7 linked regions of the Macaca mulatta genome follow. The protein of the gene in region 7 interacts with the protein of the main gene of each other region in a pairwise test. Links are inferred from orthologs where the notes say so. Each region holds a gene or a part of one and is shown on either strand. Other genes may lie near its edges.

Region 1 (4,244 bases), on a different chromosome or scaffold from region 7:
GCGATTCTCCTGCTTCAGCCCCCCAAGTAATTAGGGTTACAAGCATGTGCCACCATGCCCGGCTAATTTTGTACCTTTAGTAGAGATGGGTTTCACTACGTTGGCCAGGCTGGTCTCGAACTCCTGACCTCAGGTGATCCACACACCTCAGCCTCCCTCAGGACCCTGGGCCTGGAAACAAAAGTTTCTTTACCATAGTTAGCTTTAGTATGTGTAGATTTTTTTTCATTAGCTATTATTATTTGAGATGGAGTCTCGCAGTGTCGCCCAGGCTGGAGCAGTGGTGCAATCTCCACTCACTGCAACCTCCACCTCCCTGGTTCAAGCGATTCTCCTGCCTCAGCCTCCTGAGTAGCTGGGATTACAGGCACGCACCACCACGCCCAGCTACATATTTTTTTAAACTGCTGATTTCATCCTATTCTATTGAATTCTCCACCCATGAACCTATAGTTTGGAAAAGACTAATCTAGGGCAGGTGGCTCCCCCTGGAATTTCTGGACCAGGCTGCAGTTTATTTGTAAAGTGAAGTGGGGAGGGGAGGATCATGGGTACAGCTTTGCAGGCGGTGCAGACGTTTAGATTCTCCCTCCATCGGGTTAAGACCTTGCTCTCCTAAGGGCTGGCCAGAGTCCAGAGCATGGATGCTTCTGGTGAACAGGAGAGGCAGGTGGAGCTGAGCCTGAAGCTAAATAAACATCTGCTTATTAATTCATTTTTCTTGCCTGTCTGTGCCAGGCACTGTGCTAGGCCTCATTTGCTCTTCCGACCTCTTTTTTTTGGGAGGAAGAACAAATCTTCCGTTCGTACTCCCCAGAGTGGGAAAGGAAAGAGCCTCCCAGAGGTTGCGATCATACCCCACCATCTGACCTCAAATAATACCAGCAACGCTCCTCTCTCAAGCCCTGACTATGGCCAGGTGCTGGGCTGAGCTGTGTGTCCCATCACTGTGTCCTCACAAGAAATGTAGAGGGGCCTGTAATTTCCCCATTTTACAGGTGAGTTAACAGGCTGGGGAGGAGCAGGAACAGTCAGGACTGGAATCTAGCTCTGTTCCAAAGCCAGCTCTTAATTACCAACATGGGGGGGTGGTGGCGTGTTCCTGCCCCTCGTTTTTCTGGAGAGGGGTAACTCCCCCCATTTTGGCCCCCACATCCCTGAGAACCTTGGGGTCTGGCTGTAGGAGGTGGGGGAGCTCTGGGGGGTCTGCGCTGGCTAGTTCCTGAGATCGTTAAAAGTAGATTCTCCTTTCGCTCCAACTTTCCCGGTGTCTCACACACTCCTGCCTTCTCCTGGGCCCACTGGGCCCACCGCCACCCAACCCGGGAACCCCCGGAGGCTCGCCAGCTCTCCAGAATGGGAATTTCTTGACGTTCCCTGCCTGAGCTTCGGGGAGGGCGGGGGAGTGCCGTAAGGGGCTATCGCGCAAGTGTAGACCCTCTGCTTCTGCCGCAAACGGCGGGCCTCACCTGGACCAGGGGACTCTCCAACGAGGGGCGCTAGTCTGGCCCGACTGGGCGAATCCCCGCGTCCGTACCCGTTCCGTCGCTCAGTTCCACGACTCGCTCCCCTGCCGCCCCGCCTGTTCGCGGGTGGGTGGGCGCTTCCCTCGGCTTCCCGTGACACTTTGCAGACGCTCCCCGGCGCCGGGCATGGGCGCCGCCGCCGTCGGTCCCCGAGTCGGATTCCGCGCGCGGGTGGGTGAGCGCGGGGGGCCTCGGCCCCTCGGACCCCGGGCACCCGCGGGCGGGGGATGGTGACCGTATTTGCACCCCCGCCCTGATGCATTCCCCCGCTGGGATCTTTCCACGACTGCTCCCCCTCCCACCCCCGGGACAAAGGGCGGGGGCGGCGCATCCCCACGCGTGACCTTTCCCCGTACTGCGCACGCGCCCAGCCCCCACCACCGGGGGAGGGTCCGCACGCCCACGCGAGTGCGGGGGAGGGGTGTGGGGCCCCGGAGGTAGGGGAGGCAGCGCGCACGGGCTGGACCTCCTCCTACCCTGGGAAGTTGGGGCAGTTTCCCTCTGCACCTGCCTCTTCCTTAGGCCTGGCGGTGGCCCGCGATGAGAGTCCTTCCCCTTCAGGCCAGGTGTCCCTGTCAGGCGACCCCTTGGGGCACCCAGCAATTTAGGGCTTCAGCTTCCTTTTCCTTCGATACCCAGGAGCCCACGTCCCCAGCTCACTTCTCCCCTAGGACCTCGGTGGCTGGGCCCCCTGTCCCTGACTCTGGGAACCCAGGAGTTTGAAGCCCAGGCGTGTTTTGCCTCAGTCCTGGGGTCTGGGCTCCCTCCTCCCTCAGACCAGGGATCCAGGCCAGAAGGTCCTTCCTGTCTCACTTCACCTCCCCCAGGATGGACCCTCGAGTCCATCCGCGTCCCTCCATTTGTGGCTGCTGTTTCTGTCCAGTGCCCCTGAGGCCCTCGGCTGCTGGGGTCCGCAGGAAGCCACGCCATGAATGACCGGAGCAGCCGGAGGCGAACAAGTGAGGAAGCTGGGTCCCCTTCCCTACCCTGGGTCCCGGTGCGGTCGGTCGGCTCCAGGCTGCCGTGGTTGGGGGGTGGTCTGAGGGGCCCGGGACTTCTCTGGGGTGACCCGGGGCCTCTCCTCTCCAGTGAAGGACGATGAGACCTTCGAGATCTCCATCCCCTTCGACGAGGCGCCCCACCTAGACTCACAGATCTTTTACAGTCTGAGCCCCTCTCGGGGAAACTTCGAGGGTGAGCCGAGGGGGCGTGGAGGGACTGGAGTCAGCTGGGAAGCCAGGCCGAGTCCCAGGGTGTGACCTGGTCCCCCCACCCTCGCTGTGTCCCTAGAGCCTCCGGAGGCTGCGTCCCCCGCCCTGGCTTTGATGAACAGCGTCAAGGCCCAGCTGCACATGGCTCTGGAGAGGAACTCCTGGCTGCAGAAGCGCATCGAGGACCTGGAGGAAGAGAGGGACTTCCTGCGGTGCCAGCTGGACAAATTCATCTCTTCTGCTCGGATGGAGGCAGGTATGTGTGGGGTGCTCTGATCCACCTGCCTCCCTGTCCCGCTACTGGGTACCCGCTCACCCAGACTCGAGGCTCCACAGTTTGCCTGGCTGGGTGGGACCTGCCATGTTGGCCCTCTCTGCTAGTCCCCTGCCTGTTTTGGGCCCCCAGGCCCAGCTTCCTCTTCACTTGATGTCCAGGACCTCATCCCCATGAACTGTCTACTGGGGCCTGTCCTCCTGCTTTTTCCTTCAGCTCCCCAAATCCCATCAGCCTCCAGTGCCCTGCCATCTGCTTCCTTGGCCTATGGTGACTTCAGGACCCTGGAACCTGAGAGTCCCTCTCTTCTGACTCCTAGGGGGACCTTCCTTCATCTCTTTGGCCGAGAGGCCCACCCTAGTCCTTTGGGTTTCCTCAGGGGGCCCCTGATCCTCTTCCTGGCCCTGTCTTCTCCAAGATCCAAGAGTCCAGCCATCCAGCCTCCTCCTGTCCCCCCCCGTCCCCGTGTGACACCAGGGGCCATCTTCCCACCCACCCTGTCCCATCCTTGGTTAATGAGTTCTCCTTCCTCATGAAAGACATTAAGGCTCTTCCTGTGTGGGCCTTTTTGGGTGGGGACCCCAGCAGGTGCTGTTCCTCAAACCCTGCCCCAGGTTCCTGGGCAGTCCCCGCCCACATACCTTGCTCTGCTATAATTCATGGCCAGAAGCAGCCGGGAGAGCTCCCATAGCAGCCCCCAGCCCCAGCCAGTTCACAGCTAGCATCTTCTCTTGACTGGTGGGACCCTGTGTCCTGCTTAACACATTTTGGACCCCAGCCGCATCCTCTTCCCCAGATGGTCAGGCCCTTTGCCAGACAGCCCATGTCCTGGAGAACCCACACTTTACCCCACCTACCCTCAGCTCGGCCTTGCTAGCTCCTTGGCTGAGAAGACCCCTCAAAAACTCCCACATCTCTCTTTGTGAATTCAACCTTTTCCCTCAAAAACTTGGGCAAGGGGCCTATGGTCTCGTGGTGTCTGTTACTGGGAACCCAGCATCTGGGGATCTGGCCTTCCCTCTGCTCTGGAACAAACCGCCTCTGACTGCCCTTGCCTGCCACTGTCTCCTCCCACTGATGGCTCCATGCTGGGTGACTGACTCCTTTGCACAGATGGTTTGGTCCTGCGGCCTCGGCACTTTCCCAGTGGGGACCCTGGCACCAGACCCCTCTCCTAAGCCGCCTTCTAGAGGACCCTGTGTCTGGGCCTCCGCCAGCCAGCTCCCTCTGTCT
Region 2 (4,129 bases), on a different chromosome or scaffold from region 7:
TGTCTGGGAAGAAGGCGGCTGAACCGTGCGTGCGCGGCCGGAGCGGGGGCGCGCGATTGGAGCAGGCTAGCTTGGAAGGGGACCGGAGAAGTCTGCGGTTCCATGCCCAGACTCTGGGGCCTGGATTCCAATCGCAGGCCTGTTGCTTACATATGTCACCTTGCGCAAGTCCCTTAGCCTTCACTGGGACTCATTTACATCACTGGTAAAATGGGTTTCCAATAACCTTAGGTTGCTGCGAGGACTAAAAGGGACAATGCCTGGAAAGGCTTCAGTATGATGCTCAGCACGCAGGTAACGCTCCGGGGACCGAGGTTGTTAATACCGGCTGTTCGCACCTCGCCGGGTCCCCTCACTGCCCCCAGGCCAAGGCGCCCACTGCTCTCTTCCAAGGGACAGGCGACTAACCTATTGGGGCGCGCCCTGCCTAGATAGATTTATTTGCTTGCTTGGGGCGGGGTTTGGAGTGAAGCAGGGAGGAGAAGAAGATGGTGAGGGCAAAGAAAGGGAAGAAGCGGAGGGGCAGGAGGCGAGCGAGGCGGGGCCGGGGAGGAGCCGGGCTGGGCTCCCAGGGCCCCGGCGCAGCGCGCACCCGGAGCTGGCGGCGGCGGGGGCGGGGGCGGCGCGCGGCGGCCAATGGCGCGCGGCGCTGCGGTGAGGGCGGTGCAGGAACACCGGCCGCTGACAGCCAAACTCGCCAACTCCGCCCTCGTCCCCGCGGGATCCCGGAGCCTGAGCCGGCCTGGGGCCGAGGCCGCCCGAGCCGCGAGGCGAGCGAACATGGCAGCAAAATGAGGAGGCTGGCGCCGGGTCGTGGCAGCCGCTGCAGCGCTGCAGCTTGAGATCCCCGTCCGGCGCGCTCCGGGCCGCATCCTTAGCCGGCCTCCTGGCGGTCGCGGGATTATTTCATTCCGAGCGGAGGGCGAGGGATAAAGGAGACTCCCCAGCGGAGCGGGTCCGTGCCCAGACTCTGGGGCAGGGTGTAGACGTTTGTGTGTGCGATTCGCCGGCTGCGCAAACGACGCGGGAGAGAGACGGTCCCGGGCTGCGGCGGCGCGGCCGCGGGGATGAGCCGGCCATGGAGCGGCCTTGGCTGGGCGCACGCAGCGGACTGGCGCTGCCGCCCGAACGCCGCCTGAGCCGGGGCTCCAGGGGGCTTCGAAGCCTCCGGCGCCCTGGGGGGGTCCCTGTCGCCGACTCCGGGAAGGACGCAAGCCCCGCGTGGCGGACACTGCCGCAGTCACCGTACTGAGGCGCCCCGAGCTTGCTCCGCCTGCAGCTCGGTGCGCGCTGGGCACCCGGGCGCCTTGCCCGGTGCACGGCGGCTGGCGCACAGCGGCTAGATTGGCTGCAGGAGCCGGGTGCAGGACTAGCTGGAGGTGGGTGTGTGCGCGTGTTGGACTGGAGATCCGAGTAGAAGCAGAACCAGGCGGCTCTGAGCAGCCATGCTTCCCGGGGTGGGCGTGTTCGGCACCAGCCTCACGGCCCGTGTCATCATCCCGCTGCTAAAAGACGAGGGCTTCGCGGTGAAGGCGCTGTGGGGCCGCACGCAGGAAGAAGCGGAGGAGCTGGCCAAGGAGATGAGTGTCCCCTTCTACACTAGCCGCATTGATGAGGTGCTGCTACATCAGGACGTGGACTTGGTGTGCATTAACCTGCCGCCGCCTCTCACCAGACAGATCGCTGTCAAAACCCTAGGTGAGCGACCCCTACCCTGAATCCTCCGTCCCACACCCGCCCTTTAACCTTCCCTGGGTTCCTTCCCCGCTGCCTTTCCCTTTCCGTGTCCCAGAAGCTTACCCTGCATCTACGCTGCCCCAGGGATCTGAGATCCCAGATCCGACTCAGAGCTCCCTCCTTCCTTGTCCCGGGCCTTCCCCACCTTTGCACTTCCCTCCTGCCTCCTGGCACCACTTGGACGCGCTTCCCCACGTGTGTGGCTGGCAGGCTGGAGGAGGAGTGTGTTCCGGGGATCCGAACTAGGAAGATCAGATGCCGATATCAGGGGATGGGGTGCTCCGCAAGAAGAGGAAAGTTAGTCCTCAGCTGTGTGTGTCGTGTACGTGTGTGTGTGAGTGTGTGTGTGTGTGTGCGCGCGCGCGCCTGGGAGACGCGAGTGCGCGCCCAGAAACGCCTGAATAAAGGGCCGCACACGTGTCTCGGGGTTCTTGGGTTCGACAGAGGACCTGCCCTTCAGCAACTGTGGCGCCCTGTTGGGGTCGTTTGTTTCTTTCTACTGTGAGTTAGTTTAGCGTGACATTGGAGGTGTGACCATCGGCTGGAATTATTTCGTCTGCGCTGGAGGCAAGGATGATGGGAGTGGTTGGATGGGGGTGATGATTTAGAATGTTTTCAGAAGCGTCATAGGTTAGTAAAGACTGATTTGATAAAACCAGGGGTTTTAACTTTTGAATGCAGCCTTCCGGGAAATGTCTTCTGCCACAGTTTGGAGTAATCGATTTTAAATTTTTACGGGGATGGGCGCAGTAGCTCCAGAGGCATGGACGCTTTGCATCAGAAAAGGCCCTCGCTAATCGCCTTCAGGAATAGTTTCTGAAGGCACAGTGTTGACCCGCGGGGGCCGGAGATGAGTTCAGGGTGCCTCACCATCTGGTCCCTGCTCCCCTCAACTCCCAGGCAGTCTGAACAATCTCTGAGCACAGAGTAGCAACCTCTTAGCCCATGCTCAGGGGAAAGAGAAGGGCATGTTTTGTTCATCATCAGTTCTTACATATAACCTAAAACAATCCCAGGAAGCTTGCTTGATCTTACAATTCCAAGAAAATTAGCAGCTCACCTTTGAAAGCTGAAGTTTCTATTGGTGAGGAAAACACAAAGCTTATAACAAGAACAAAGCTTATAACCAGATGAAGCGAATAGTAGAACAGATTAGAAGGGAGGAACTGCCAAGGAACAGAGACCATCCAGAAACCAACCGGAAGTTATGTAGTCTTGGAAAGACTGTTTTATTTTTTAAAAATAGGTGTGGATTCAGGGTGGGTGAAATATATATATGTGTTTTAATTCTGCCTTCGAAGAGCTCTGAACAGAATGTAGAAACTCTCCATAGAAAGGCATTTTTATCAGGCCATTTGGCTGTTGACTCAGATGCGACATCTGATGGAATTCCTAAGGAGGCTGCTCACATTGTCAGTTTTAATTGTCAGTTAATTTTATTAAGTGTCTGCCCTTTGTGGCCTGTTTCTTTGGCCTTGAACTGAATGCCATTGAGTCTGGCCAATATTTATTTTCTGTTTGATGGAACATGTGTATTGGGTGGATAACTCCCTGGTTTACATTGGCTATTTGCATATTAAATATTTTATAACCATCTTGTGGTATAATTCTATTGGTGCAGTTTGTACAAAACTGGTCCCTCATGAGCCCTGGGTATACTGGAGAGCTTAGGACTGGTCATATCTGAAAGACCATGTTGTAACTTCGTTTCTCCACCATAGAGATGGTGGTTCCTGTCCTGGGTACAGACCCACAGAGCAAACCTAGAGCAGGAGGGTGGCGATTTGGGGAACAAGGATGACCTTGTTTTCTGGCTGTCTCTGGGAAGTTGGCCATGAAAGTATCTGGGGGCTCTGGTTTCAAGAGATGTGACACAAATTAGACATTTCTGGATACTTCTTCTGTTCTTATTTTTCAAATATCCCTGTGACTTTTCTTTAATTAACAAGACATGTCTGTTATCTCTTCAAAGCCAATGATAAGAGGCATAATAGACCTAGTTGAATAATGGTGATGACAGAATAGGGTTTTGTTCATGTTTTTAGGGTAGGTTTTGAGCTTCTTTCTTCTTTCTTTTTTTAACTCCTTCTTTTGCAGGCTGCCCCTGCGAGTGCACAGTGGGGTGGTCGTCTTCGTTTGCTTTACAGTCACTATTGAAGGTTCAACACATACAACACAGGAAGTGAAAAACCCCAAACAGTTACCAGGCTGGTCTGGCTGTTGGGAGTGTATAGATACGAGTGTTTGCCTGGACTCTGACTTGTCCGAGTAAATTGTCCTTTTAGCAAAGTCCTGGACTTTGGCTTGCTTGCCCAGTAATGGTGACAGGTCTGTGACTCTTGATCCACACTGATAACTGGTCACAGGCCTGTCAAAGTAAGGGGCTGGTCTA
Region 3 (4,003 bases), on a different chromosome or scaffold from region 7:
CAAGAGATTCTCCTGCCTCAGCCTCCCGAGTAGCTGGGATTACAGGTGCGTGCCACCACGCCCAGCTAATTTTTGTATTTTTAGTAGAGACGGGGTTTCACCGTGTTGACCAGGCTGGTTCCGAACTCCTGACTTCAAATGAGCCGCTTGCCTCGGCTTCCCAAAATGCGGGGAGGCTAGTGATATTTAACGTTAAATAACTTTGGCCTCCAAAGATACCTGTTTCCATTTTAAGACACTTCTATTTAGTTTTGGGAGGGTAAACTAGTTATATTTTAATAATGAAAACATCTGTTACATAAGCACATAGTGAGTACTCTAATCGACCTTCTCGGACTCTCCGGGCGTGAGGGGTGGGTGAGGGGACCGGCAGGCTGTCACAGCCCCTTCAAAAGGGACTTGGGGCTGGGAGATGTCGCAGTCAACTGGGAAAGGAGAGCCAATCAGCAACTGGAGCGTCCCACGCCGTTTGTCAAATGCATCTCCGGATTAGCTCTACTCATACGTATATCTTGGGGGTGACTAGGTGATGTCCGTGTTCAAGACACTAGCGTGCTAAGCCTGGCATTTCAGTTTGCACAGCGCTGTAAGTTTTGTCTCAATCTTCCTGACCGCCAGCGAACCTGGAGGACGTCTGCTAGCGGTAAATTTATTTATTTATTTATTTATTTATTTATTTATTTATTTATTTATTTTGAGACGGAGTTTCCCCTTGTTGCCCGGGCTGGAGTCCAACTGCGCGATCTCGGCTCACCGCAACCTCTGCCTCCCAGGTTCACGCGATTCTCCTGCCTCGGCCTCTCTAGTAGCTGGGATTACAGGCATGTGCCACCACGCCTGCCTAATTTTGTATTTTTAGTAGAGACGTGGTTTCTCCAGTTGGTCAGACTGGTCTCGAACTCCGGACCTCAGGTGATCCGCCCGCCTTGGCCTCCCAAAGTGCTGGGATTACAGGCTTGAGCCACCGCGCCCGGCCAGCGGTAAATTATTTACCCACATTCCGAAAAGGAAAACGGGCGCCCGCGCGCAAGGACATACTCCTTGATGGTTACTCAACCAGAACGCCGCTGCTCCGGCGCCACTGCTTGACCTAGCGCACCGCCCCCTCCGACGCGGGCGCCGTCGGGCTGCTGCGCCATGCGCGCGACAGGGAAAGGAGGGGTCGCGCTAGGTTGCGTCACTCGTCTGCGACGGCGCCTGCGCGAAACACCATGCTGATGGCAAGGTGCAGCGGTCCTGTCTTGCTCTGCCTGCGGCAGGGACTCGGTACCAATTCATTCTTGCGCGGCCTAGGGCAAGAGCCCTTCGAAGGAGCTCAGTCACTGTGTTGCAGGTCCTCGCCTAGAGACCTGCGAGACGGAGAAAGAGAGCACGAGGCGGCACAAAGGAAAGCCCCAGGAGCAGAGTCTTGCCCATCTCTCCCTCTGAGCATCTCGGACATTGGGACCGGATGTCTTTCGTCACTGGAAAACCTCAGACTGCCTACTCCGCGGGAAGAGTCATCCCCTCGAGAGCGCGAGGACTCGAGTGGAGACCAGGGCCGGTGCGGTCCGGCACACCAGATATCCGAGGATCCTTCGATGCTCTCGCAGGCCCAGTCTGCTACCGAGATCGAAGAGCCTCACGTCTCCCCTTCTTGTTCAACTTCCAGACAGAGACCCTTTCAGGTTGGGGAACTGATTTTAGCTGAGACTGAGAAGAGAGAAACACAATTTAAGAAATTATTTAGATTGAACAAAGTTGGACTCTTAAATAGTAGCTGGGGGGCAGTCCCGTTCAGCAAGATCGTGGGCAAGTTTCCCGGCCAGATACTGAGGAGTTCCTTGGGTAAGCAGTTCACGCTGAGGAGGCCAGCATTGGAAGACTATGTATTATTGATGAAAAGAGGGACTGCCGTAACAGTCCCAAAGGTAATGTGATGGAGATAAGGTGTGTATTGTTTCCAGGAGGAGCAAAGACAGATGCAGTACTCAGTCCTGATTAATGTACTCAAAGCATATCTCAGAACGTTTGGATTTTTTATTGTACTCAGGCTTTTAAGATAAACCAATGGATATAACTTTTACATATCATGATGAAAATTAGCATTAGGAAACGCCCAGATTTTAATTTTAACTTGGGAGTCTCGATTCCCTTTTTTGTAAAATGTGGATAATATTTCAACTTTCTGTTAGGGTGATGTGAACTCATTAGGTACATAGTAAGTACTAATTTTGTTCCCCATTACTCTTAAGTTTACAACTTCAGGACTCAAGAGAATGTTGAACTCTTAGGGAACAAATTTTTAGTACTACTATGATGATATTTTAATAATATTTAATAATCATGTTACAAGAGTATATTTTATCAACAGTAGATACATTACGGTGCTTTTTCCTTTAGGGAAGAAATAGAGTTTTATGTTAAAATAGCTAACATTCAACACCAAACATAAAATGACGTCTTTATTAAAAAGTTAACTGCCTAAAGCCTAGTTTCAGTTTTTTTTTTTTTTTTTGAGACAGGTTCTCACCGTGTCATTCAGGCTGGAGTGAAATGTTGCGATCTTGGCTCACTGCAACCTCTGCCTCCCAGGTTCAAGCGATTCTCCCACCACAGCCCCCTGAGTACCTGGGACTACAGGCATGCGCCACCACCCCGGGCTAATTTTTGTAGAGACGGGGGCGGGGCGGGGGGCGGCAGGGGTTTCACCTTTTTGCCCAGGCTGGTCTTCAACTCCTGGCCTCAAGTGATCCGCCCACCTCTGCCTCCCAGTGCTGGGATTACAGGCGGGAGCCACTGCGCCCAGCCCTAGTTTGAAGTTTATGCTAATCATCTATTGCTAGCAGATTATTTCAATCCTTAGTCACAGTCACAGTCCTTGAGTAGAATGTTCCTGTGTAACACAACTCCTCCTTTCTCCAGATCAGGATTCGTTCATTATTTATTCAGCAAATGATTGACTGCCTTACATACTCAAGGCACTATTTAGGGAAGTATAGTGTTGAACTGCAGTCCTCACTCTCAACATAGACCTTACATTCTAGAAGGGGTGACAAAGAACAAACAAGTAAATGAAAGAATAAGGTCATTTCCAGTAGTATTAAGTGTCATGAAGACAAATACATTAACAATGACATTGGGATGACCTGGGGTACGAGCATACTTTATGTCAGGTGAGTAGAGATGGTCTCCAAGGAGGTACACTTGATAGGAAACCTAAATAAGGAAGAGCTTGCCTTGTAAAGATCTAGGATAAGAATTGTTCTTGCAAAGGGAGGAATACTGCAGAGTTTCTGTTGTGGCCTCTGGGTCAGATGAGGGTCCCTCTATGGGGTGTGGTTTGAGTATTTTATTCCATTTGTAGTGAAGGACCATTAGAAGTTTCTGAGTAGGAATCCAGTCTGTATTTTAAACGGTCTACCCAGGGACTAAGAAAACTTTCCTCAGAAGCTTAGGCTACTGAGGTATAATAAGCTTTTTTTTTAAAGACAGGGTCTTGCTATATCACCCAGGCTAGAGTGCAGTGGCTCAATCACCTCTTACTGTAGCCTCAACCTCCCGGGCTCCAACAATTCTCACACCTCAACCTCTTGAGTAGCTGGGACCACAGGTGTATGCCACTATAGCTAATCAAAAAAAAATTTTTTTTTAGTGTTGGGGTCACCCTAACTTGCCCAGACTGGTCTCAAACTTCTCTAGGCTCAAGGGATCCTCCCTTGAGGGTGCCGGGATTACAGGTGAGAATGACCGCTCCTGGCCATGGTATCGTAAGCTCTTGAAGAAAACCAAAGACTTTTGTAATTTTATCTTGCTTCCCCATGTCTCCTTTCTCCCCATTAGACAAAATGAAGAAAGATTAGTTACATTTCATGAAGTTATAAATAGGCATCCTTAGTGTACTTTCTGCCTTTCCATTTGTTACAGATATAAGTCACATTGTTCTACTCTAAGGAGGAATTTAAGTACTAAATTTGTTAGGTGTTGACTTCTCTTTATAGCTTCCAAGTAGTAGCTGGAGATA
Region 4 (4,274 bases), on a different chromosome or scaffold from region 7:
AGAGAATCTGCACAAATAGACGAATGTATACGCATGCAAGAATGTTTATAGTAGTATAGTTTGTAATAGCATATGATTGTTATTTCCCAAATGTCCCTCAACACTAGAGTGAATACATATATTTGAGACATTATATTCATATGATGGAACACTACATAGCAATACAATGAACTTGGTTATATGTATCAAGATGCATGAATCTCAAAAGCATGATGTTGAACTGATGCAGCAGGACACGGAATACAGGGAGAAGCCCTAGAATTGGTAATATTCTATTTCCTATGCTGGTGGCTGGGTTCACAGAGCTACATTCTATTGTAATTCTTTAAATATTACATATATGTAGGGTACATTCTTTCGTGTGTCTATGTCACAATAAAAGGTGTCAATGCAACAAAAAATGGGAAAATGGATTCGGTTGTTGAAATCATGAATATCATCAACAGGACCACTGTGAACAAAAATAAGGGCTGTAATGTTATACAAATGGTTATTTGCAACTTGGGATAAAGTTTACAGTGTCTTCATCATACATGGATTCAAAAGGTGATGTAATGAAGGTGGCGTGCTCAGGAAAACTGTGTCAGACAACTCAAAAAGGGGCTCTGGTAATGACAAAGGCAATGATATTGAAGATACCAAAAGAGGGATTCTTAACATATTTTCCTGAAATTACAGTGAAAAAAGCACTTTTAAATTAACATTTTATATGTGATTTTAACTACGTATGCATGACTGATTAATCTAGTTTCATAATACAAGTCGCCATTTATTTCCTCTACCTTTATAATACTGCATATATATTCAAATTGGCCAAAATCTTTCTTTCCAATCATCATGCTGGGATTATGGGGTTATATGTGGCACATACCATTCCTGTATGTCAGGATGGAAAGGGTTTTTACCTGGAATGAATTTTTGCCATTTCTGATCCACATTGTACTTCACACAGTGATTTCCTGAAGGAAATATAATGATCTGTTCATCGAAGTAGAAGATATTGTTGGCCACGTGGGATCGAAGACCAAAAACATGCAGCGTCTGAGCTACCACGGCCGACATGATCTCCCGCCAAAGAGTTCTGCTGAACCACCAAGGCGGTGTTTCAGAGTGGAGAGCGTTGCCCTGCTCCGCCCCGACCCCGCCCCCGGCCCAGACACGCCCCGCCCAGCATCTAGGACACGCCCTCCCCGCTCCTTGCCCCTCCCCTTCCCCCTCCCCTTTCCCCTCCCCCGGGGTCCTCCTGCGCGCCACCGCATCCCCGCGTCTCCTTTTTCTGCCTTTTCCTTTGTACCCTCACTGCTACCAGCTCCTTCTGGCGACCCCCAGGTACCCGCTCCCACCTTTCACTTCTCTCTGGGTCAGCAGACCACGCATGTATCCACAGGCACTACCTGTGCGGATCCTAAGCAACCCGGGCACTTTCAAACGCCGTAGCGGTTCCTATAGCAACGACAAACCGGAAGTATGGTTTGCCGCCGGAAGCGGAAGCCCAATCAAAAGTTTAGCAGTAGCTGTGAGTTGCTGGCCCTGGTGCGACTCTGTGGCACGTGGAGCCACGGCCTGGGACTAGGGGGCTGAAGGCAGGCAGCGGCGGCCAGGGCCGCCCTCTGCTAGCCGCTTGGGTCTCGGGATACCCCGCTTCTTCTTGTAGGTGTGGGACGTGCGTGCGGCGAGATGGACACTCCTCCGCTCTCGGATTCGGAGTCGGAATCCGATGAATCTCTTGTCACAGACAGAGAGGTAAGTCTCAGCAGAGCTCGCGGGGCTGGGCATGGGAGAGGGGGTCTTACACCCCTGGGAGTGACCGTGATTGTGTCCTGCAGTTGCAGGATGCGTTTTCCCGAGGGCTTCTGAAGCCAGGCCTCAATGTCGTGCTAGAGGGGCCGAAGAAGGCCGTGAACGACGCGGTGAGCGCGGGCACAGGGTCGGGGGTACTCGGACTTGGGATGCGCACCAGCCGCTGTTGGGCTTGGGAGACCGATTCTTGTCCCAGGAAAGATGCACCCTGAGCCTTGCCAAGAGGGTCTATTACCTGTCTGCGTATTGGGGATTAGCGCTTTGTCCCTTTGCCTAACAGCCTGTGCTTGGGAAGAACAAACTCAGAGTCCCCTTCTTATGAGCTCAGTGTCTGGATTTCCTAGAATGGCCTGAAGCAATGTTTGGCAGAATTCAAGCGGGATCTGGAATGGGTTGAAAGACTCGATGTGACACTGGGTCCGGTGCCAGAAATCGGTGGATCTGAGGCGCCAACACCTCAGAACAAGGACCAGAAAGCTGTTGATCCAGAAGACGACTTCCAGCGAGAGATGAGTTTGTATGTTTTCAAATGTTGGAGAAGTTGAGGATCCTTGTGCAGGAGAGTGGGAAAGGGGAAATTAGTAAGCCTGCACTCAGAATAAGCTTAGGGGTAGGGAGAGCAGCTTCTTTTGACTAAGAGTAGCTAGGAGATTCTCGCTGTTTGAGAGGAGAGCTCCTTGGTCCACAGTCACGATTCAAAGTCCAGTTTAGGGACTAATTTGAAATATTCATGTTAAAGCTTTTTGTGCATGCTTCAGTTAAAAAAAAAAACAACAAAAAAAACCTTGCTTATGGGATGTTCTTGTGTGGAATTGCTTTAGTAATTACGTAAGAATCCATAATCGACATTAGTTTGTGTTAATGGGTACCTTTAGAGTAGTCATTCTCTTAAAACTATTTTTAGCAATACCCCTCCCCTTTTTAAAAACTGGTATATGTCTACATTTCTTTTAGATACTAAATCAGTGAGGTTTGGTGACAGTTTTTGTTTGTTCTTGCTAATGGAGGTCAGATTTTGAGAGTCCTTCTGAGCTTGGATAACTCATGAGAGGCAGTGAAAAGGAACGTAAGGCCTCTCTCCTTCACCTCATTACACATTTTGTCCCACAATTCTCAGCTACCGCCAAGCCCAGGCCGCAGTGCTTGCAGTCTTACCCCGCCTCCATCAGCTCAAAGTCCCTACCAAGCGACCCGCTGATTATTTTGCAGAAATGGCCAAGTCTGATCTGCAGATGCAGAAGGTAAGAAATAGAAATATTCCTCTGGAAAGCCAAAATTTTGTACTTAAGCATATTCAGCTGGCTTAGAAAGATAGCTGTGAGCCCAATAATGGGGAGCCAGTTGTCAGAGGACAATTATTACCTCTTCCATAGATTGACTACTTCAGAGTCATGCCAGTTACCACCAATTAGATGCATATGACATTTTTTCTAAAATCAGCAATTAAGGAGAGGAACAGTGCTGTGAGAAGTGTAGTCCTTGAGGTGAAGATGGCCCATTGCATTTCCTAGCTGGCTTGGTCATGGCATGGTGTGCAGAGAAGACAGCATTCTTGTGCCCTTGCCACTGGTAGTGCTAGAACTTGTAGACAATTACTTTTCTCTGGGCCTCAGTTTTCTCCTCTATAAAATGAGGGATTCTCAGATGGTTCAGATACAGTACAATTTAGAGTTGGGTAGAACTTGGACCTCATTTAACTTTGAAGGAGGGGATTGCCAGCATGTAACCAAGATATACTCAGCCCTCCATAGCCATGGGTTCAGCATCTGTGGATTCAGCCAACCTCAGATCAAAAATATTTGAGAAAAAAATTTGAAAATGTTGGAAAAAGAAAACTTGAATTTGCCATGTGCTGAGAACATTGAATCTGTGAGAATGACATGATGCGTAGCATTGAATTCAGTATTATAAGTAATCTAGAGACTATTTAAAGCAGTGGTCTGGCAACAGGGACCGGTTTCGTGGATGACAATTTTTTCATGAACTGGGGGAGGGGATAGTTCCGGGATGAAACTGTTCCACCTCAGATCATCAGGCATTAGATTCTCATAAGGAGCACACAACCTAAATCCTTTGCATGCTTTCACAGTAGAGTTCGGGCTCCTATGAGAATTTAATGCAGCCGCTGATCTGACAGGAGGTGGAGCTCAGGTGGTAACGCTCGCTTGCCTGCCACTCACTTCCTGCTGTGTGGCCTGGTTCCTAACAGGCCACAGATTCATAGCAGGTTCATGGCAGTCTGTGGCCCAGGAGTTGAGGTCCCCTGACTTTATACTGGAGGCGAGTGTAGGTTATATGCAAACGCTACACCATTTTTATATAAGGGACTTGAGCATCTGTGGATTTTGATGTCTGTAGTGGGTCCTAGAACTTATCCTCTATGGATACTGAGGAATGAGTATATTTAAATAGTATCCTGGGGTCTCAAACTGGATTTTAGGGAGCTTTTGTCATGGTAGTAGTTCACCTTCTCA
Region 5 (4,282 bases), on a different chromosome or scaffold from region 7:
ACCTCCCTCAGGAAGCAGAGTGAATAAGGGCAACAAAAACAATTATTCAGTGCCTACTCTGGCTGGACAGAGTGCTAGCTGATAGGAGTGATCAAGGTACTGCAGGTTGAAATGAAATAATGCTTGTGAAGTGTTGAGGCGTGTATGCCTGCAGAATCATAAGCACTCAATATGCGTTACGTGCTATATGCTACAAACTAAATATATCATACTAAAAAATGTATAGGCCTGCTAGATTTTTAGACAAAAAATATATGCATCTGAATATCCATCTTTTGTTTGTTACTTCCATATTCATTTTCTCATTTATTCCCACAAAACAGCCCTGGAGGATAGGCAGGGTGGAGATTTTCTCCTGTTTTTACTGAGGAAAAAGAGGCACTGGGAGGTTAAAATTAACAGGCTGATAAGCTGCTGCCCAGCAACAGGAGATGACTGGGCATATTAAAAAGAAATCCGGCCCGCACAGTGGCTCACGCCCGTAATCCCAGCATTTTGAGAGGCCGAGGCAGGCAGATCACTTGAGGCCAGGAGTTCGAGGCCAGGCTGGCCCATATGGTGAAACCCTTTCTCTACGAAAAATACAAAATCTAGCGGGCTTGGTGGCGGGCGCCTGTAGTCCCAGCTACTCGGGAGGCTGAGGCACGAGAATTCCTTGAACCTGGGAGGCGCAGGTTGCAGCGAGCCAAGATTACCCCACACCGCACTACAGCCTGTGTGACAGAGTGACACTCTGTGTCTAAAATAAAATAAAATAAAATAAAATAAAATAAAATAAAATAAAAAAATAAATCCAGAGGAGGGCAATGTACCACCTCGAATCTCTGAGTGGAGAGCCAGAGGCCTTGGACTGGGAGGTTTGATGGAGGCCTGTGGGTCCAGGGCGCCCCAGCCACGAGGTCAGGCAGGAGGGCAGCGGTGGACACGCCCCGGGGCGCACGCTCACTGGCGGCCGGCAGCCAGTGGGCAGAGGAGCACACGAGGCCGGGCACGACGCTGGGTGGCGCTGCCGGGCCGCCCTGCACTAGACCTGTTGCGTCCAGGGCGCAACTCCGGCAGGTTTAGAGTAAAGGGGCGCTCCGCTCTCTCCGCGCGCCCCCTGAAGCCCTGGACACAGCACCTCCGTTTGGGACGCCCTATGCCCACCTTAACTTGAGGCTCCCATCCAAGCAACCTCTGCGATCCTCACCGCAACCGTGCTAGGCGCGTCGGGTGGGGCGGGAATAAAGTTTTTCCAACCCAGTTTGGGGAGAGGGCTGGATAGGGAGGACCTTCCCTGCTGCAGACTTCATGGCAGGCTGCACTGTGTCCCCTCCGCTCCACGGCTGCCCCGGGGGCCCTGCTTTCGGTAGGTGCCAGCCCCCTTTCCAGCAGGATGGGCTGACCTGTGTACCGCCCCCTCCCACCCCCTTCTCCATCCCCATCCCCTCCCCCGCCTCCCGCGCGCTCGGGCCCCAGCGTCTCCGGCCCCGCCTGCGCTGGGGTCGCTGCAGTCCCCGCGGCTGCCCCGGGCTCCTTGCCCAGGCGCCCGGGCCTTATTCCAGCCTGGGGAGCACCTCGGGGGGGAGCACGGGACAGCGAGGGAGACCGAGGCGGGGGCCCTGGGCAACCCATCTCTCCGAACCGGGGAGGCGGCCCCGATTCCGAGAGCCGGAACGCAGGGAAAGGCAAGGACGGGGCGGCCGGCGGAGGGGCGGGCGCCGCTCATCAGCCACTCCAGTCACGTCTGGGGCCACCGGCTGCTTTTTTCTTCCTTTCCCCCTTTGCTTTCTTCCCCCTCCGCTGTTGGCGAGGGCAAAGTGGCCGTGGCGGCGCCATGCCCGGGCCGGAGTGAGTGCGCGCGGGCGAAAATGGCGTACATCCAGGTAGGGCTGAGGCTGGGGGCAAGGTCCGGGGTGCGGGTAGGGGGTGCTGCGCCCCCTCCGGCTGGGAGCGCGCGGAAGGGAGGGCCCACGGCTAAGCTCCCACAAACTTGCTTCGAGAAAAAGGATGCCCGTGCGCGGGCAACCCTTGCAGCAACAGGGGTGAGCCCCGGGAGGAGAGACTGGGGACCCCCAAACCCCGGGATGGAGGGTCCTATGTGGACTCTGCAAAGCGCACCCTTGCCTCTTGGGGAGGGAATGGGGGGTGGGGCGGACTTTTCTTCCCCCCCGCCCCTCCCTCTCCTTGGCACCCCACCCCAGGGGAGGGGCCGTGGGGAGGGCTGCCCGGGGCGAGCCGGCAGCCCGGCCCGTCAGCTGCCGTTGCCGTGGTGACGGCTCCGGCTAATTGGCCGGCAGACCGAGCCTGAGGCAGCTGTTCCGACCAGGAGGGACAAGGACGTCGTCTCTCCCGGGCACTGGGTGCTGAGGGGTGGGGGACACCCGGAGGCCAGAGGCGCGCAGGTGGAGAAAAAGGAGGCTGTTACTTTAGTCCGCTGCATTGGGATCTGGGAGATGTGGACCCTCTTCACCTTGAAGAAATGTCCCCCAAGAATCCTTGGGCTGAATTAATTCTGAAATAATTTCTAAGCAGCCTTTTTTGGGGAGAGGGGGCGGAGGGGTGGGCCGGGCTTCTTGATGAAAAGACCTTTCTCCTCTGCAAGAAGGGAAGTGACCGCAGGTCAGCGCCAAGGTCAAGCAGGCAGACTCGCAGTGAGACCCGTTGAGTTGCTTGCTTCTGGTGCTGGCTCCTCTGAGCTGGGCAGAGAAGCTTACAGACTTCCACGTCCAGGGTGCATCTTGGCTCACATCTTGTCCCCTCAGCCACAGCTGGGGGTGCTGCTGGTCCTCCCATTCCCCTCTGGCTCACGTATCGTGTCCTCAGACGCTTCAGCCTGTCGGGAACTCTGTGCTGTGTCACCTGGCGGAGCCTCTTCCATTCGTCTCCTGCCTTCGATTCCCCGGATTGGCTTCCCTTTCGTGGAATCGCCAGTTTCTCTTTTCAAGTTCATTGAAGGTCACATTACTGTCCACCCACTGTGTGCTGAATGTTGTCCAGGGGCTATTCAATAGTCACCCAACACACACTTGGGCGACCGCCTACTAAGTGCTGGCACTGGGGATGCAGTGATGAAAACAGCGCAGTTCCTGCCCCTCTGAGTGCGCAATTTAGTGAGAAATGAACATATTTACTGGCTCCTGGGGTTCTTAATGGCCGCCTTCAGCAGAGAGAAATTAAGTGACTTGCCCAAGGCCACACAGCCGCTTAGGGGTCAAGGTGGGATCTCAAGGGGGGTCGGTGCGAGATATGTTAAGCATCTCATATGACAATGAGCAGAGATGTTGGTTTTCCTTCTAGAACAAGGTGTTAAACTTTTTTTGTCCTGTGAAGTGCCAGATAGTACTTTTTTTCTCTTGGAGGCTCACATGGTCTCTGTCACAACTATTCCACTCTGACTATAGCACCAAAACTGCTATAGACAGTAGTAAATGAGTGGGTGTGGCTGTGTTCCAATAAAACTTTATTTGCAGGCACCAAAATTTGAATTTTGTATACTTTGCCCGAGTCAAGAGGCAGTCATCTTTTTTTTTTTTTTTTTTTTCCCCAACCTTTTAAACTCGTACAAATCATTCTTTGCTCAAGGGCTGTAGCAAAACAGGCTGCGGGGCTGGTTTTGATCTGCGAAGCTTAGTTTGCCAACCTCTGTTTAGAATGCATGGGTTTTCTTTCTTCCTCTTTCTTTCTGATATGAATTGGTTCTCTTCCATCAGTGTCAAACATGGGAACCCAGGAGACCCAATGCCAGAAAGACCGCATGCCTGGGAACGTCAGGGTACCTCTTTCATCTTCTTTGGTTTCTCTCGGTTCCTTGACACTCATCTTGCACCTGGGCTTTGAGAAGGCTGGGAAGGCTGTTTTTCAGCAGGGGCATGAGGTGGCCTTGTCTCTGTTCACTTTGGTTTCATAAATGGCCTCTTTTGACCACCACATGTCTAGGAAATGCTTCCCCATATTCCGAAAATGGTCATGGATTATCATGAAAAAGTATCACTCTATCCTAAACATTCTAAAGCACTTTTTCATGTAAGCCCTATGAGAGTATATTTTGTTGTTTTGTGCCCTGCTGTACCTGCCAGGACAGTACCTGGTGCCTGCTGGGTACCACTATGTCTTGACAATCACCCAATTATCTTCACAGAAAGGGTGCATTTTAATTTTCAACTGGACCGCACGCAAGTATTTGCAGAGTCAGTGTCCTGTCCCACCCTAACAGCACCCCTTTGACGTATAGAGTAGCCTTTCCACTAAAGAAGAGGAAACCGAGGCTCGGAGAGGCCCCCTGACTTGTGCGAGTCACGTG
Region 6 (4,047 bases), on a different chromosome or scaffold from region 7:
AAACTAATCATAGTACTAAAGGTAACTGAAGCACATCAGTTACCTTTTTTGTATTTAATGGAAATCAAAAATACGTGAGTGTATGGGCATATTACATACAGGTGCATATAAAGAAAAAATACTTCCAATCCACTTAAAACATTTTACTAACACATGTTTTTCCTGAAGAGATAAGTAGCAGTAACACAAACGATACTCACAGATTTTTTTTTCCTTACTCATCTAATGGCTAAAACTGGTGGGCTGTCAATTTGTGGAGACAGATTTAAACTGAAACCCAAACCAAAATATTGGCTTTTCGTGAATGAACCGCCCAGAACGGCACCTGGCACAAAACAGGTACTCGACAAGTTATCTGAAAGAGTAAATGAACAATATGAAAACACTACACGTTTACAGCTCACAGAAAACGGCGGAAACGATGATGAAAATCTTACTACAGCTAAAATTTCTATCACTTCCCATGAAACACACACATCCTGAGGACTTCCCAGGATCAATCAACCCCTCAGCCCTGCTACTGCGCCACAACCCGGCACCACGTTCCCACTACTCTCAAAGGAGGCCGGAGCCCCAGCAGCCCCAGGGGCGGCGCGGAGGCGGTGGGCAGAGCTCACTGCCGCGTCCCGCCAGGTGGGCTCTCGGAAAATCCCCGGTTCCCCGGAGAGCGCCGCCCCAACCCGACACGTTCCCCCGTTCCCCGCGTCCCCGAGTGCGGTTTCCCTAGTCCTAGAAAGTGCCTGGAACCAAAGGCAGAACAGGCGGAGAGGCCCCACACCACCCAGGAGCCCCCGCGCGCAGAGATCGACGCCGATCTCCGGGACGCGCTTCCGGGGAAACCAAGGCCAAGGCCAAGCCCCAGCCCGAGGCCGAGCCCGCCCCCGCGGCGACCCCCGGAGCTCGAGGGGTGTGGGAACCATGGGCGCAAGCCGGCTGCCTCCCCCGCTCCCCGGCCCGGGCCGCCGTTCCCTCGGGATTAGTACGGGGCCAGCGGCCGGAATCCGGAAACCGTAGCCACCAGCGCTTTTACCTGCGCCGCGCCACCCGAAGACACACCTGCACAGCGCGACTTCCACCAACGCTGCGCCCGTGCGCACTGCCGTAGTGCCCATGCTCCGTACCTAGGACCAATAGGAAGTTCCGAAGGGGACCTGGACCAATCACATTGCGCGGCTGTGAGTCGTGCTCCCGCCCCGCCCCGCCCTGCCCCGCCCCGCGTTTACTACGGTGGCCCACGACGCCCAGGCGCTTCCGCGGCCACCCGGAGTGATTGGCGGGCGGAGGGCGGTAGGTGTCCACGCGGTCTCTCCGGCTGGGTGTCACAGACCTTATCGGCTTTCTCCTCAGGCTGCGCCACCCTGCCCGTGTCTCAGCGCAGGTCCCCGGGGCGCCGAGTTTTGGGGGTGCTCGGCCCGCGGGTCCCTTTCATTCCTAGGAAGACGCGCCCCGGGGCATCACGCCTGTCTGTCCTGCACACTCGTGTTCCCAAATCCTCCCGCGGCGTCTTTAGATCTGGACCGGCCGCCACACCTTCTCCCTTCATTGGTCTATGTTGTGCTTTTTCTTTTCCTACTTTGTTTCCATTGCCGACGTAGACCCTTTCCCTCAACCCTGTCTCCTGACACCGAGGGGAAACCAACAGCTTAGGGCCTTTCCAGCGCGTTTTTACTCTTGCCTTGCTCTAACCTCGCGTAATTTCATCCACTTTACCTATTCTTTGTTTGATTTCTATTCAAATGCAATTTCTTCCTTCAACCAACATTTAAGGGCCACCCTTAAGAGCTACATTGCCTGAGTTTGAACCTTAGCTCTGCCACTTAACCACCTGCATAAACTGGGCAAAGTAACTTTGCTCTTCAACTTCTACCTCATGTAAAATGATGGTAAAGGTACTTAATCTGTGTAAGTTAATAGAAAGTGTTTAGCAAGTAGTAACGATTGTTACTGTTGGATGTCAGCCACTTTTCTAATTCTAGGATGCAGAGACCTTGCTCCTCTGGTGTTTATATGTTATCCATCCTTTTTTTTTTTTTTTCCTGGTACTCGTTTGTAGTTTCAACATTGATGTTGGGTCAATCATGTTCTCAATGTATTTAACCTTGTCTTTTTAAATGTTTTAATTTAGTTATCAAATTGAGAATCTGATGGCATGGCATTAATCACCTTGAGGAAGAACCTTTATCGTTTATCTGATTTTCGGATGCATGGAGCTGCTTTGAAAAGTCAACCTCTAAATCGTGTTCACAAGGTAGTCAAGGAGCGCCTGTGCCCTTGGTTCTGTTCACGACAACCTGAGCCTTTCAGGATCAGGTTCCATCATGCCCATTGTAAAAAGTTTAATTCGAAAAATGGAAATGACCTTCATCCACTCAGTGGGCCAGTATTCTCTCAAATATCTGACTGGGTCAGGCTTGAACAAAATGTTAAAAATGGGGAGAGTCAGACGTTTTACAAGAGACTGAGCAACTTGACTTCATCAGAAGAAGTGCTAAGTTTTATAAGCACGATGGAAACCCTGCCTGACACTATGGCAGCAGGAGCTTTACAACGAATTTGTGAAGTGGAAAAAAAGGATGGTGATCAAGGGTTGCCAAAAGAAATACTGGAGAATAGCATCTTTCAAGCTTTATGCTTTCAGTTGGAAAAGGAACCCTCACAGCTGTCAAACACTACTTTGGTGACTGCTTTGCAAGCTCTGATTCTGTTGCATGTGGATCCTCAAAGTAGCCTGTTACTGAACCTGGTGGCAGAATGCCAAAATCGTCTCAAAAAAGGTGGCCTGGAAGTTCCCAATCTTTGTGTTCTTGGGGAGAGTCTGATTAGACTGCACAGTTCGGGTTGTGTGACACTAGAACTGATTATAAATCAACTGCAAGGTGAAAAATTGGAAACATTTACCCCAGAGGATATTGTGGCCCTTTATAGAATCTTGCAGGCATGTGCTGAAAAAGTGGATGAACACCAAACATTTTTAAATAAGATAAACAACTTTTCCCCTTCAATAGTTTCCAACCTGAGTCCTAAATTGATTAGCCAAATGCTCACTGCCCTGGTGGTTCTTGATCAAAGTCAAGCATTTCCTCTGATCATAAAATTGGGCAGATATGTCGTGAGACATGTCCCATATTTCACTAACGAGGAGCTTAGGAGAGTCTTGGAGGCGTTCATGTATTTTGGGTACCATGACAGATTTTTTACAAAAGCCCTAGAGAATCGTGTAGCTGCGGTGTGCCTCACGTTGGATCCTGAAGTTGTCTGCGGAGTCATGGAGTACTGCGGTAGAAAACGGATTCTTTCAAAACCCATCCTCAATGCAGTGGCAGAAACTTTTGTTTGCCAATCAGAAAAATTTTCACCTAGTCAGATTTCTGCATTAATGGAACCATTTGGGAAACTCAATTATTTGCCACCAAATGCCTCTGCTTTATTTAGAAAGCTGGAAAATGTGCTATTCACTCATTTCGATTATTTTCCACCTGAAACATTATTGAAACTTCTTCATTCATGTTCACTGAATGAATGCCATCCAGTCAACTTTATGGCAAAAATATTCAACCCTTTTTTCCTTCAACGGCTGCAAGGTGAGTTGGTTATAAATTCTGACAGTTGGAAAAAGTTAACCTTTGAATTGGCAGTGGTTTCAAGTCACATATAAAGGCAGTGTGTTGCCTTTAGTTTTTCTTCCATAGTGATCTGAAGATGAGACCTGAAATTGACAGATGCTGGCATAAACACAGAGTTAAAGCATGCTAGGAACTCGTATAAAGGGAGGAAAGCTGTCTCAGATAAACTGACTTTTGCCTTATCTGAGAAATTGCAGCATTCTTAGGAGATACAGTGATGGTAGTGGAAATAGCCACATTAACATGTTAGAACTTTTGATGAGTGAGCAACTGTATTTTTTTTTTTTTTTTTTTTTTTTTTGAGAGGATGGCATCGTTCATCTCGAACCAAGGCCACCCACATATTTCCGGAACTCCATAGTTAAAGGAAATTTCCACTAATTCTGTGAACATATTTTCTTTCTTTTAATTGTACTCGGTAGCT
Region 7 (3,927 bases):
ATATAGACATTTAAGGCTGTGGATTAGTTTTCCTGATGACTGCCTTTATAATTTCTTTTCTTTTCTTTTTTTTTGAGGTGGAGTCTCGCTCTGTCGCCAGGGTTTCACCGTGTTAGTCAGGATGGTCTCGATCTCCTGACCTTGTGATCTGCCCGTCTCAGCCTCCCAAAGTGCTGGGATATAATTTCAATAATATAATGAAACTCTATATCTTGATTTACAAACTTTAGGCAATATTTATTTACTCCTAACTCCAAAACAACTCTCCCCCTATTATAGGCGACTGGAGGTGGGAAAAAGCTGAGTTAACGATAAGTATTAAGGCATTAATTTGTGGGTGAAGGTTGTGGCATATGTCTGCATAAGTCTGGAGCATGAGGGTTTGTGGGCAAGTCTGGGGCATGAGGATGAGAAAGAAAAGTAGTGAGGAAACAAAAATGGTTATGGGCAGGGCACGGTGGCTCATGCCTGTAATCCTAGCACTTTGGGAGGCCAAGGCGTGCAGATCAACTGAGGTCAGGAGTCCGACACCAGCCTGGACAACATGGTGAAACCTCGTCTCTACTAAAAAAAAAAAAAAAAAAAATTAGCAGGGCTTGGTGTTGGGCTCCTGTAATTCCAGCTCCTTGGGAGGCTGAGGCAGGAGAATCACTTGAACCCGGGAAGCCGAGGTTGCAGTGAGCTGAGATCACCCTGCTGCACTCCAGCCTAGGCGATAGAGTGAGACACAGTCTCAAAAACAAACAAAAACGATAAAAGCACAATCCATTGATTGAAAAGGATGCAGCTGGGCATGTTGGAAGCACACAGGGCATGGGAGGGAGCCTGGGCCCAACCCATAGGATGATGGCCATTCTAGCCAAAGGGGCAGGGGTGGCTGGAAAGAGCCCCAGGGCGAGGTTCTAGGCCCTGTCCACTTGGCCTCCATACCAAGTCCTGTGTCCCTCCCCAGGAGCAGAAGCTGAAAGAATGTGGGAACAGAGGCCCCAAAGGGCCAACCCCACCTCAGTCCACAGCAACCACTTGCTGTCACTTAGGGGAAGGGGGAGGGCGTGCCAGCAGGGGGCGTGGCCCCACACGGCCTGTCACACGCATGTGCACTGAGTCGACCAATCTGCGAGGAGCGTAGGAAGTGCTGTCGGCAGCTCTCACGAGAACTGAGTACTTGTTTTCTTTTTTGTTTTTTGTTTTTTGTTTTTTGTTTTTTGAGACAGTCTGGCTCTTGCCGCCCAGGCTGCAGTGCAGCCGCGCGATCTGGGCTCACTGCAACTTCCGCCTCCCGGGGTCAAGCAATCATCCTGCCTCAGCCTCCTGAGAGGACCCGTTTTCTAAGAGATCCTAGTGGTGCTGTTGTCTGCAGGTTCTTTGAGGGCGCCACATCAGGGGTCCCTCAGGTGAAGCGCTCGCGGTGGGGAGGCGGAAACGCAGGCACGAGGCCCTCTGGGAACCAGGGTGTGAAGCGCTGGGCCGCCCGCTGACCTGTGAGGAAATGCCCCTGGCGTGGTCGCCTGGGGCCTGGGTCAGGGCGAGGCCCTGAGGGTGGGCTGGGGTGGGCCAGGGCAGGGAGGGAGCTGGAGCCGCCTGGGTGATCCCTAGGGCCCAGGAGGGCTTGTGCATGTGTTGGGGGGAGGTGCGGAAGGTGGGGGGAAGTGGGGGTGGGGCGAGGGTGTTGTTGGGGACAGTCTGAGTGGGGCCCTCCTGCCCGGCCTCCCGTCAGGACAGGACACTTGGGGTCATCAGGGGTCCCCTGTGCATCCAGGCGGGTGAGTGACAGTGCAGCCCCTGACATTCCTCTGGAGGTGGCTGGGGAGATCCTGTGTCACCCGGTGGCCCTCCCAGCCACACGGGGTCGCTGGGGGACCCAGAGGTAGGGCTGAGTTCTGTCCCAAAGGTGCGGCGAGGATCCCGCAGACGCCGTGGAGTTCAGGTGTGAGGGGCAGCTGTGAGCTCTGCAGCCAGCCCCGGGGACGGGCTGGACGGGCTGGACGGGCCAGGACAGGAGGGGACACTGGCATCTTTTCGGTCCCCTCCTGCTCCCACAGGAGACCCAGGGCGTGCCAGCCCCACCCTTCTTGAACCTGTGATCCCAATGGCTTTCCTTTCCGATGCCAGGGTTCCTTTGCTTCCTTAGTGTGCCTTTGCCCTCATCAGGTTCAGGGATCACCTGTAGCTTCCCAGGACAGCCAGCCACGGATCCTGTGGGCAGGAGGGCTGCCAAGGCCCAGTTGGAGGCTCAATTTATGGCGGCCCAGGGGAAGGAGCGTGCAGGTAAATACAGCCCAAGGTGACCCGGAAGAAAGTGCACGCCCAAGAGGACGGTCTGTCTGCTTTCTGCGCTGGGGGCACAGGGGTAGCCCAAGGACCCGGGCCCCTTCGTGGCTTTGGAGTCCATCGTGCACGTGCTAAGATGCCCCAGGTTTTCAAAGCAGGCTCAAGGGCCTTAGGCTTCCCGTGAAAGGCTCCCCTCATAGCGGGGTTACAGATGCTCCCAGAGCAGCTCTTCTCCATGAGTGCAGTCATGACATCCAAGGGGTCTGACGTGTAGTATGTTGTTTACTGGGACTTGAACCCGAAGGGCTTCCAAAAGTGCCTTGATAAAATGGTCAGAAGCCGGTGATTCCATGTACAGCTCTGCTTTAAAGCCTTAATTGGCAGATAGCCAAAAAAAAAAAAAAAAAAAAAGTCTACAACAAGTACATTTCTCCACAAAAAAAGTCCACAACAGTGTCTTCCTCTAAAAAAGGTTTGTCTTTTAAATTTTAATGCAGGAAAGGATCCAGTCAGTGACGAATGTGAGGAAAGAAACCCTTTTACAGAAACAAGGGAGGAAGATGTAACTGATGAGCATGGGGAAAGAGAACCTTTTGCTGAAAAAGACGAGCACACGGGGTAAAGTGTTTAAGTCACTTTTGCCTGTGGGATAGGGTCTTTTAGGAAAAGTCACCTTTGGACCATGTCATCACTGTTCTATTCTGTGCAGAACATTTCACATAAGACATTTCTTTTCCCAACAAACATGGCATTTTGTGTAGTATTATGCTAAAATTTTGATGTAACTTTTTTTACAGGGCTAATACCAAGAAGCCAGAAGATACTGCAGGTATATTTTAGGAGTTATCTGTCGTTTATGAAAATTGTTTTCAATCATGCAACTGTTGCAGTAAGTTATATGAATCAGTGGATGACAAGACTGTCTTAAATGGCTTATCATATGTAGCATTTAACATACGTATTTAATGTAATCTGTTTGATAAATTTTTCTTACCTCTTTGATTGTTGATGTGGAATGTGAGAATGCTTCTAATAATGGTGAAGCGAGATGGATGGCTTTTCTTTCATACACGTGGAAATTTAATTGTTTGGAGAATATTAGAGGACATTGGAGGAGAAACAGCTCTATTCGTTCCTTTTAGTGTACGCAGATTAAGTCATATATCAGGTTTTTTTTAAGCTTTCACTTTAAGTTTGGGGGTACATGTGCAGGTGTGTTATATAGATAAATTGCATGTCACAGGGTTTTGGTATACAGATTATTTTGTCACCCAGGTTATAAGCATAGTACCTGATGGGTGGTTTTTGATCCTCACCCTCCTCCTACCCTCCACTCTCAAGTAGGCCCAGTTGTCTGTTGGTCCCTTCTTCCTGTCCATATGTACTCAGAGTTTTTAATATGAGTTTTTCATGTTCTTAATTTAGCTATTCTATTGTCACAGCTTTCTGATTTTGTTTTATTTGAAGTACAAGAGAAAATTGAATTCTCTAAAATCATTTTCCATTATTATTCCAGTAATAAACTGTGTAGTACAAAAGGACAACTTTTCTATCTAGTGAGAAACATGTAATTGGATCCAAAAACTCATAAACTTTATATTGCTGTGTGAAATATTAGTTGCACTGTTATAGGGACCATATTTTCAAAAAAGTTTG

What was found.
Region 1: the proteins of FAM9B (region 7) and CCDC106 interact in binary tests that used the Homo sapiens proteins (3 or more experiments, as listed by UniProt). The two-hybrid records come from large-scale screens. The link is inferred for Macaca mulatta from reciprocal best matches to the Homo sapiens genes FAM9B and CCDC106.
Region 2: the proteins of FAM9B (region 7) and GFOD1 interact in binary tests that used the Homo sapiens proteins (3 or more experiments, as listed by UniProt). The two-hybrid records come from large-scale screens. The link is inferred for Macaca mulatta from reciprocal best matches to the Homo sapiens genes FAM9B and GFOD1.
Region 3: the proteins of FAM9B (region 7) and TRMT61B interact in binary tests that used the Homo sapiens proteins (3 or more experiments, as listed by UniProt). The two-hybrid records come from large-scale screens. The link is inferred for Macaca mulatta from reciprocal best matches to the Homo sapiens genes FAM9B and TRMT61B.
Region 4: the proteins of FAM9B (region 7) and EBNA1BP2 interact in binary tests that used the Homo sapiens proteins (3 or more experiments, as listed by UniProt). The two-hybrid records come from large-scale screens. The link is inferred for Macaca mulatta from reciprocal best matches to the Homo sapiens genes FAM9B and EBNA1BP2.
Region 5: the proteins of FAM9B (region 7) and SYT17 interact in binary tests that used the Homo sapiens proteins (3 or more experiments, as listed by UniProt). The two-hybrid records come from large-scale screens. The link is inferred for Macaca mulatta from reciprocal best matches to the Homo sapiens genes FAM9B and SYT17.
Region 6: the proteins of FAM9B (region 7) and FASTKD3 interact in binary tests that used the Homo sapiens proteins (3 or more experiments, as listed by UniProt). The two-hybrid records come from large-scale screens. The link is inferred for Macaca mulatta from reciprocal best matches to the Homo sapiens genes FAM9B and FASTKD3.

Annotation. Positions count from the first base shown.
Region 1 is NC_133424.1:67,997,172-68,001,415, forward strand, and holds the start of CCDC106 (coiled-coil domain-containing protein 106), read left to right. Parts: upstream 1-1,444; 5' UTR 1,445-1,697; exon of another isoform or gene 1,698-2,353; 5' UTR 2,354-2,454; coding exon 2,455-2,485; intron 2,486-2,615; coding exon 2,616-2,720; intron 2,721-2,816; coding exon 2,817-2,993; intron 2,994-4,244. UniProt on the Homo sapiens protein: Promotes the degradation of p53/TP53 protein and inhibits its transactivity.
Region 2 is NC_133409.1:169,624,751-169,628,879, forward strand, and holds the start of GFOD1 (glucose-fructose oxidoreductase domain-containing protein 1), read left to right. Parts: upstream 1-1,329; 5' UTR 1,330-1,445; coding exon 1,446-1,698; intron 1,699-4,129.
Region 3 is NC_133418.1:96,103,817-96,107,819, forward strand, and holds the start of TRMT61B (tRNA (adenine(58)-N(1))-methyltransferase, mitochondrial), read left to right. Parts: upstream 1-1,203; 5' UTR 1,204-1,211; coding exon 1,212-1,910; intron 1,911-4,003.
Region 4 is NC_133406.1:197,485,695-197,489,968, forward strand, and holds the start of EBNA1BP2 (putative rRNA-processing protein EBP2), read left to right. Parts: upstream 1-1,474; 5' UTR 1,475-1,516; intron 1,517-1,654; 5' UTR 1,655-1,677; coding exon 1,678-1,743; intron 1,744-1,826; coding exon 1,827-1,910; intron 1,911-2,144; coding exon 2,145-2,317; intron 2,318-2,917; coding exon 2,918-3,041; intron 3,042-4,274. Other genes in the region: CFAP57 (cilia- and flagella-associated protein 57), read right to left, coding at 906-1,062. UniProt on the Homo sapiens protein: Required for the processing of the 27S pre-rRNA.
Region 5 is NC_133425.1:19,195,347-19,199,628, forward strand, and holds the start of SYT17 (synaptotagmin-17), read left to right. Parts: upstream 1-1,482; 5' UTR 1,483-1,850; coding exon 1,851-1,865; exon of another isoform or gene 1,866-1,876; intron 1,877-4,282. UniProt on the Homo sapiens protein: Plays a role in dendrite formation by melanocytes.
Region 6 is NC_133411.1:8,930,441-8,934,487, reverse strand, and holds the start of FASTKD3 (FAST kinase domain-containing protein 3, mitochondrial), read left to right. Parts: upstream 1-1,247; 5' UTR 1,248-1,287; intron 1,288-2,125; 5' UTR 2,126-2,149; coding exon 2,150-3,581; intron 3,582-4,047. UniProt on the Homo sapiens protein: Required for normal mitochondrial respiration. Increases steady-state levels and half-lives of a subset of mature mitochondrial mRNAs MT-ND2, MT-ND3, MT-CYTB, MT-CO2, and MT-ATP8/6.
Region 7 is NC_133426.1:8,568,769-8,572,695, reverse strand, and holds the start of FAM9B (protein FAM9B), read left to right. Parts: upstream 1-1,127; 5' UTR 1,128-1,394; intron 1,395-2,151; 5' UTR 2,152-2,240; coding exon 2,241-2,268; intron 2,269-2,768; coding exon 2,769-2,889; intron 2,890-3,068; coding exon 3,069-3,100; intron 3,101-3,927. UniProt on the Homo sapiens protein: May play a role in meiosis.